2 linked regions of the Danio rerio genome follow. The protein of the gene in region 2 interacts with the protein of the main gene of each other region in a pairwise test. Links are inferred from orthologs where the notes say so. Each region holds a gene or a part of one and is shown on either strand. Other genes may lie near its edges.

Region 1 (4,152 bases), on a different chromosome or scaffold from region 2:
GTTCACGTGGGTTTCCTCCAGGTGCTCCGGTTTCCCCCACAGTCCAAAGACATGCGGTACAGGTGAATTGGGTAGGCTAAATTGTAGTAATTGTAATTGTCCGAAGTGTATGACTGTGTGTGTGTGAATGTTTCCCAGAGATGGGTTGCGGCTGGAAGGGCATCTGCTCCGTAAAAACTTGCTGGATAAGTTGGCGGTTCATTCTGCTGTGGCGAGCCTGGATTAATAAAGGGACTAAGCCGACAAGAAAATGAATGAATGTTTGTTTGTATGTTGGGTGTCACGGTGGCACAATGGGTAGCATACTCGCCTCACAGCAAGAAGGTCGCTAGTTTGAGTCTCGGCTGGGTCAGTTGGCATTTCTGTGTGGAGTTTGCATGCTCTCCCTGCGTTGGTGTGGGTTTCCTCTGGGTGCTCTGGTTTCCCCCACAGTCCAAAGACATGTGGTATAGGTGAATTGGTGTAAGCTAAATTGTCCGTAGTGTGTAAATGCGTATGTATGGATGTTTCCCAATGATGGGTTGCAACTAGAAGGGCATCTGCTGCTTAAAACATATGCTGGATAAGTTGGGGGTTCATTCCGCTGAGGCGACATCTGATGAATAAAGGGACTAAGCCGAAAAGAAAATGAATGAATGTTTGTTTTTTTGTTCGTTTACTTCTGTGGGAAATTATCCTCTTTGTAGATAATTCTCCTTTAGAAATTATTGTATTTTTGAACTTAAACTTTAATTAATCATCTTTAAGTCAAAAGCTGCTGGCTAGTTGGTAGCATTATCAAAGGGTTGGAAGTTGAAGCTTCTAGCTATACTAAAACAGAATTATAAAGTATTTAATGTGGTACCTTGCCAGCCAGTGTTGGGTTGCAGCTGGAAGGGCATCCGCTGTGTAAAACATATGCTGGATAAGTTGGTGTTTCATTCCACTGTGGCGACCCCTGATGAATAAAGGGACTAAGTCGAAAAGAAATTGAATGAATGAATGAATGAATGAATAATTGAATGAATGAATGAATGAATGAATGAATGAATGAATGAATGAATGAATGAATGAATGAATGAATGTGGTACCTTTTTATTTAATCCAGATCATGATGCTTAAGTTGTTCCTTGTGTTTTGTCGTCCTCTGCTGTTCAAAACAAAGGTTACAGTTAAAATGTTTTAAATAATCGTCCATTCCAGTAATAAATTTATACATATTCTATTTAAGCGTGTTTAAATATATAGTCAACTTGGCAGATTAGTAAAACGAATATATCATTCGATATTAACGAAATTTAATACAACGGATTTGACGAGAACCTTCTCAGTTCTGTCTCTTTAAGAAAGTTTTGACGCTTGATTTCGACGTCACAGCCGCTTCCAGTACCACAGCCACATGTGTTGAAAGAGTCGATTTATCGCAACAATTCTCCTATAAAAGCGTCTTGGAAAGGATTGATTGCTTTATGGACGAAGAAAGCTTTGTGAAAGGAAACACCCCGATAACATTTTCAATGTAAGAATCACTTTTAATACAAGTGTTTTTAAAAAGGTATTGAATTCAAGAGTACGCGCACAGATATTACCACTTATTTACGTTATTTTATAGATGAGACCCTCGGTAATGTGAGATTTTAATGGGTTTTTAACATCCTTCATTCCTAATTTCAGTCTCTAAACGTTGCTACATCCAATAATGTCTCTCCTGGAGACGAATGAAGTGAAAACAGACCTAGAAACACAACCTGTGTTCAGTGAAGACGAGTTAAATGACTGTAAACCAGAGAAAGATGAAGAGGAGAAAGCAGACAGTGCTGAAGAAGATGAGCAGGAGATGAACTCTGAGGAAGACATTAATGATGGTGAAGCTTTTCACATGGAGATTGAAGATGATGATGATGATGATGAAGAAGACGAGTCTGACAAGCCAAAGGGCAAGAAATGTGTTCCAGGTATCGTGTATTTGGGACACATTCCTCCAAGGATGAGACCGAAACACATGCGGAATCTCCTGAGTGCGTATGGAGAGATCGGGAGGATCTTCTTACAGCCTGAAGGTAAAACTTCAAAAACACATAATTGAAAAGGACATCTATAAAGGTTTGTGAATTTGACTGCTGGACTGGGCAGATTTAGTGATTTGGGGGCATTAACCAATTCCATTCATGGGGCCCAACAGTCCTAAAAAGGTTGAGGGAAAGTTGGTTTTAGATTCACATACAGTAAATAGGACTTTCTCTCTAATAATATAATTTCAGCAAAGTTTTCTGTGCAAGGTCTAAATAGTGAGGTCATATTAGCAGCCAATCACTATCAAAGCACAACATTGTTCATAGTGAAATAAATGGTGCTAATGTTGTTTACAAGTCATTTTTACATTACATTTCAGATCAAATATTCATAATAACAGTGTAAATAATATAGAGAGCTTGTCACAAGTTGTAACTGAACAAATGTGCAAAATATAAAACCAACTGTACCTCAATCCTAATGTGCACCCTTTCCTCTTTTACTTAATTTTTATTATTTAGCAACTTTTTTAAATATCACATAATCTTCGTTTCTTAGTTTTTATCCTAACGGCAATCTATTCATTGTAAATTATTCATATTATAATAATGAATTAACAACTAAAAATAAAATATTTTTCTATAAATCTGACAGCTGCATTGTTCCATGATTGGGGGTGGTGGACAAATTTTATCCGTTGTAATAATAATATTTTATTTTATAATGTAATTATTACACAATGCAACATTGTTATTATAATAATATTCTATATTATTTTATATTAAATAGTATTTTAATACTTTAACCCTTAACATATTACATATGATAGAAAACAATGTTATATATAACCATTTTCAAGGTATACTGTGATATGGAAAAGTCAAGGTTTTAAAACCACCAAACTTTTCTGCTATACCGTTCCTAAGGTATGTGTAAGATTTTTTTTTTTTTTGTTTGTTTTTTAGGGCAACAGTATTTCCAGCAAAAAAGATATCCAAAGATGCCATTTTAAGTTTTAAAGAAATCTGTGTTTTTGAAACTTACGAAGACAGCAGAAGTCAATGAATCATTTAAATTGTTCAGTCTGACATGTTTACTGCTCCAAAATATTTTAAACGTTTCTCAAAATAAAATATAGTGTGCTCAAAGGTGGGAAAAGTTTTTTGTTTTTTACCCAGACATTTCTAAATAATATATTTTAAAGCAGTAATCACAGTACCGTGAAACCATGATATTTTTTATCCAAGGTTATCATACCGTTAGAATCTTAGTTTAAACATTAGTATTCATTTGTTTAAAAAAAAACAATTGAGCTCTAAAAACATTACACCTTTATGCAAACATAAAATTGACAGAAATGTTTTCAGTACTTTACAGATGAAAATAAGACATTTTATTCAAACGCATAACTTCAAATTGTAAATTGTATAGTATGTATATAGCGATAAAACCTGAAATATTTACATGTTATTTTTTCAAAAATATAAGTGTTTTGAAGGGATAGTTTCCTAAAAAACAAAAAATGTCATCATTTACTCTTTCTAATCTTATAAAGTTTCTTTCTTATATTGAACCCAAAGGAAAATTTGCTGAAGAAAAACATTTTTTGTTTCTACTATAAATGTCTGTCATTTTTTTCCCCCAGCATTTTTCAGAATATCTTGTTTTGTCTTCAACAGTAGAACCACTTGCCTTTGGGTAAATTTATTTATTTATTTTTTTCCATTTTTGGGTGAACTATCCCTTTAAGCATTTCATTAAATGAAATTTACAATTTATTTCGGCATATATAGCAATACATAAGCATATACATGAGCTTAAGTTAAATGGATAGTTCACTAAAAATATTTAAAAATTTACTCGCTATTTAATCCTCATCCAGTGGTTACAGAACTTTGAGTTTCTTTATTCCTTCAAACACAAAAGAAGATATTTTGAAGAAAATTGTAACCATTGACTTCTATTGGAAAAATGAATACTATGGACGTCAATGGTTACAGATTTCTTTAAAATGTCTTTTATGTCCAATAGAAGAAAGGTTTGAAAATTGAGTGAATGACAACGACGGAATTTTCAGTTTTGAGTAAACAATTTTTTTTAACTAAATGTTTTTTATGTTTGACTAACTTTCCATTCTACTATTTATTTGTGACGGTCTTG
Region 2 (3,895 bases):
GACTGTAACGGCGGCTGCTCTTCCCGCCATTGGTGAACAGCGCCTAAATTTCTAAAGCTCTTTCTGTTGAGAAGGTAAAGACAATAACCAATTATAGACGTGTAAGACCTTCGCCTGTCAGCGCTCAAAAAGCAGGCGGGATAATATTTACATTAGTTTATTTGCTGTAAATGGCGAGGCAGTGGCGCAGTAGGTAGTGCTGTCGCCTCACAGCAAGAAGGTCGCTGGTTCGAGCCTCGGCTGGGTCAGTTGGCGTTTCTGTGTGGAGTTTGCATGTTCTCCCTGCCTTCATGTGGGTTTCCTCCGGGTGCTCCGGTTTCCCCCACAGTCCAAAGACATGTGGTACAGGTGAATTGGGTAAGCTAAATTGTCCGTTGTGTATGAGTGTGTGTGTGAATGTGTGTGTGGATGTTTCCCAGAAATGAGTTGCGGCTGGAAGGGCATCCGCTGCATAAAAACTTGCTGGATAAGTTGGCGGTTCATTCCGCTGTGGCGACCCTGGATTAATAAAGGGACTAAGCTGACAAGAAAATGAATGAATGAATGAATTTGCTGTAAATGCTCATCCTGTCTTTTGTGCACGTGTTTTGTTTGATACATTCAGAAAGAATGTTTTCTTTGAGCAGGTCAAATTAAGGGCACAGTTCATATATTTAAGAACTAAATTGTATTACAAATAATCCTTTTACTGTCGCACCAATATAATTTTTTTTGACTGCATTTCTTAACTCCTAATGTCGCTAGTTAACACAGGCAATGCATTTTTTCCCCAACACTTTCCATAATTTCTAAAATATCAGCCTCTACCAAATAGTTGAGATGTTGGTTTATGCTAAAAGTACCAGAATTAATAACTTTATACATCTCTGGTTTTTACTTTGGATGTCAATTGGGTGCTTTTATCCAGACATTCTTCTGAATATCCAGCTTTGTGTTCAACAGAAAAAAATTTTTCCTAAAAGTTTCAAACAACTTGAGTATATTTTATTTTTGTTTGAACTGTCCCTTTAAGTCTCTGCAGAGATGGCAACAAGCTGTTTAAACAAGTAATAATAATACAAACAATAATATTTAAAGCTGCAAGCAGCATTGAGGGGCCCAAGCACTTTTATCACTGCAACCTTGGTTAACACAGCGCAACACAGGCTAGAGCTGAAGATCTTTGCCCAAACTCAATGACTTTAGGGAATAATGTAGTTCATTTTACACAGGCTGGGCTTCGACTTAGGTCTAGACTTGCGCTTGGCTTGTGTGGTAAATGAGTGATCACATAAAGCATTTGAACAAACCAGTTCTAGATTTTAGAGGTAATTTAAGATTTAATTTAAGATTGGAGATTTTATTGTCGCTGTAAGAGCAATTCTTATAGTGGTGATTAATCTTTTTTTTATGGGTATATTGCAAAATATAATGAAGATCCCTAATGTAAATTAGATTTTGTTCATCTGCAGTCATACCAGGAGCAACTAAAGGAATCCAAAGCTCAGCGGGAAGAGCTCAGGACTGAAATCCAGCGCTTGAAGGAAGATCTGGAATCCAGGTTGGTTGCAGATTTTTTAAGACATTACCCAGGATTCCCACTGGTCATAGAATTTCTGGAATATCGTGACATCTTAGAAGGTTTTTCCAGACATTGAAAGTCAAGGAGTTTTTTTTTGTTGTTGTATTATTTCATGGAATATCAGAGATTTTTGTTTGTCATATAAATTTTATTCATTTATTAATTTTCTTTTCGGCTTAGTCCCTTTGTTAATCTGGGGTCACCACAGAGGAATGAACCACCAACTTATCCAGCATATGTTTTACGCAGCTGATGCCCTTCCAGCTGCAACCTATCACTGGGAAACACCCAAATGCTCTCATTGTCATTATGGACAGTTTTGTTTATTCAGCACATGTCTTTGGACTGTGGTGTAAACCGGAGCACTCGGAGGAAACCCACGTAAACGCGGGAAGAACATGCAAACTCCACACAGAAATGCCAACTGACCCAGCCGAGGCTCGAACCAGCGACCTTCTTGCTGTGAGACAATTTTGCTACCCACTGCGCCACCATTATGCCATTTTAAATTTTACTTACCATAACCAAAAAAAAATAATTCTACATTGTGTATTATTATCGTTGTTTCATGTGTTTGGCCTGTTGTCATGGTTAGGCAATTTTTCACTGTCATCTTAATTCTTTATACTTGGATTTTTGGTAAAAGTTTCTGATTATTGCAGCCTAAAATGGCCGATTCTTAAAATATGTTGCAATATTTGTACATTTTTATCATTATTGTTGTTTTTGCGGTTATAATATACACATCTTAGTTGTTATTTTTTAATATTACTTTTTAACCTCAATAGCCATTGAACTCTATATAAAGAGAACACAGAAACAAAGAAAGTGTTTACTTCTTAATCGTAAAGCTTACTACATCATATTTGATGCATGACTGACTCTAAATTGTCATTCATTAATTTTCCTTCAGCTCAGTCTCTTATTTATCAGGGGTCATTACAGCAGAATGAACCACCAACTATTTCGACGTATGTTTTACGCAGCAGATGCACTTCCAGCTGCAACCCAGTACTTGGAAACACCCATACACTCTCTTATTCACACAGGCACTCATACACTACGGCCAATTTAGTTCATCCAATTCACTTATTGCACATCTTTGGACTGTGGAGGAAACCCACACGAATACTGGGAAAACATGTAAACTCCACACAGAAATGCCAACTGGTCCAACCGGGACTCGAATCAGCAACCTTCTTGCTGTGAGGTGACAGTGCTAACCACCGAACCACCGTGCAGCCTCTCTAAATGATTAAAATAAACTAAACTGTCAATTTCTTAAACAGTAATGTTAAAAATGTTCACATGTTTACTGATCGATACAACAAAATTGACTGGCTGAATTCAATGTTGTGTTTTTTTTTTATGATGTGTCTAAAGCAGGTCACACATCTGTATATGACACCAGTATGAGCACTTTCTATACATGAGTATAGTGTTATTTATTATTAAATGATATGGAAGGAATTTGAACACATGTTGAACATTTGTCACAGCTTGCCAAGATCTGCAGAAAGTTGGATGCAATCTTTTGCTCCATTTGCCTTATTTATTTATTTAATTTTTTTGCATTAAATTCAGCGACCGCAGAATTCTGTCAGCACTGCTCAACACAACATCTCCCTATTTGGAAATTTTGCTTTTTAGTTAGTAAAAGTTAGAAAAAAGTCAAGGACATTTACATTTGTCTTACAGTGGGAACCCTGTTTATCATTGTTTTATACTTTAGTCATTTTGTTGACTTTTTTGATGTTACATTTGTTTTAGACCCACGATTAAAGAGCTGAAGACCTGCAAACAGCAGCTGAGACGCTTGGATCGAATCATTCAGCAGAGTAACCTCAGGTAAGATCTGCAGTGAATAGCTCTGTTTTTCTGATGGATCGGGCTAATGAATGTCTTGTTGAACAGGTCAGCTCAAGAATTGAAACCGCAGGACTCTACAGAGAAACCGGACACCGATAACGCCAGTATCCAGAGCCTGGACATTTCGACATGCAGGAGACTTCTCACAGTATGTTAAGATCAACAATATGGATCAGAGAAACTAAAATGATAAAACTAGTCCTGTTGCGATTCATTTGCAGTTTTTTTTCCATCTAAGTGTGGTTGCTTAGCACAAGGGGTGACTTAAACCGAAATACTTAAGTGTTTTTTAAGCATTTTTTCACTTTCACTTTTTATATTCGCAATGGCTTTGAATGGGGGTGAGACAGACTGCTTGTCTAAATTGCATTTGAATGCTGTCTTTCTACTAATCACTGTGCAGAGTTTTACTGAATATATTCAGTAAATATATTGATATAATATATAATATAATTAAATATTGAT

What was found. The genes of interacting proteins can lie anywhere in the genome.
Region 1: the proteins of cep70 (region 2) and abt1 interact in a two-hybrid assay, tested with the Homo sapiens proteins (2 studies listed by BioGRID and IntAct). The two-hybrid records come from large-scale screens. The link is inferred for Danio rerio from reciprocal best matches to the Homo sapiens genes CEP70 and ABT1.

The regions. Positions count from the first base shown.
Region 1 is NC_133183.1:10,041,783-10,045,934, reverse strand, and holds the start of abt1 (activator of basal transcription 1), read left to right. Parts: upstream 1-1,352; 5' UTR 1,353-1,498; intron 1,499-1,653; 5' UTR 1,654-1,678; coding exon 1,679-2,039; intron 2,040-4,152.
Region 2 is NC_133197.1:12,304,482-12,308,376, reverse strand, and holds part of cep70 (centrosomal protein of 70 kDa), read left to right. Parts: intron 1-1,451; coding exon 1,452-1,540; intron 1,541-3,331; coding exon 3,332-3,409; intron 3,410-3,475; coding exon 3,476-3,578; intron 3,579-3,895.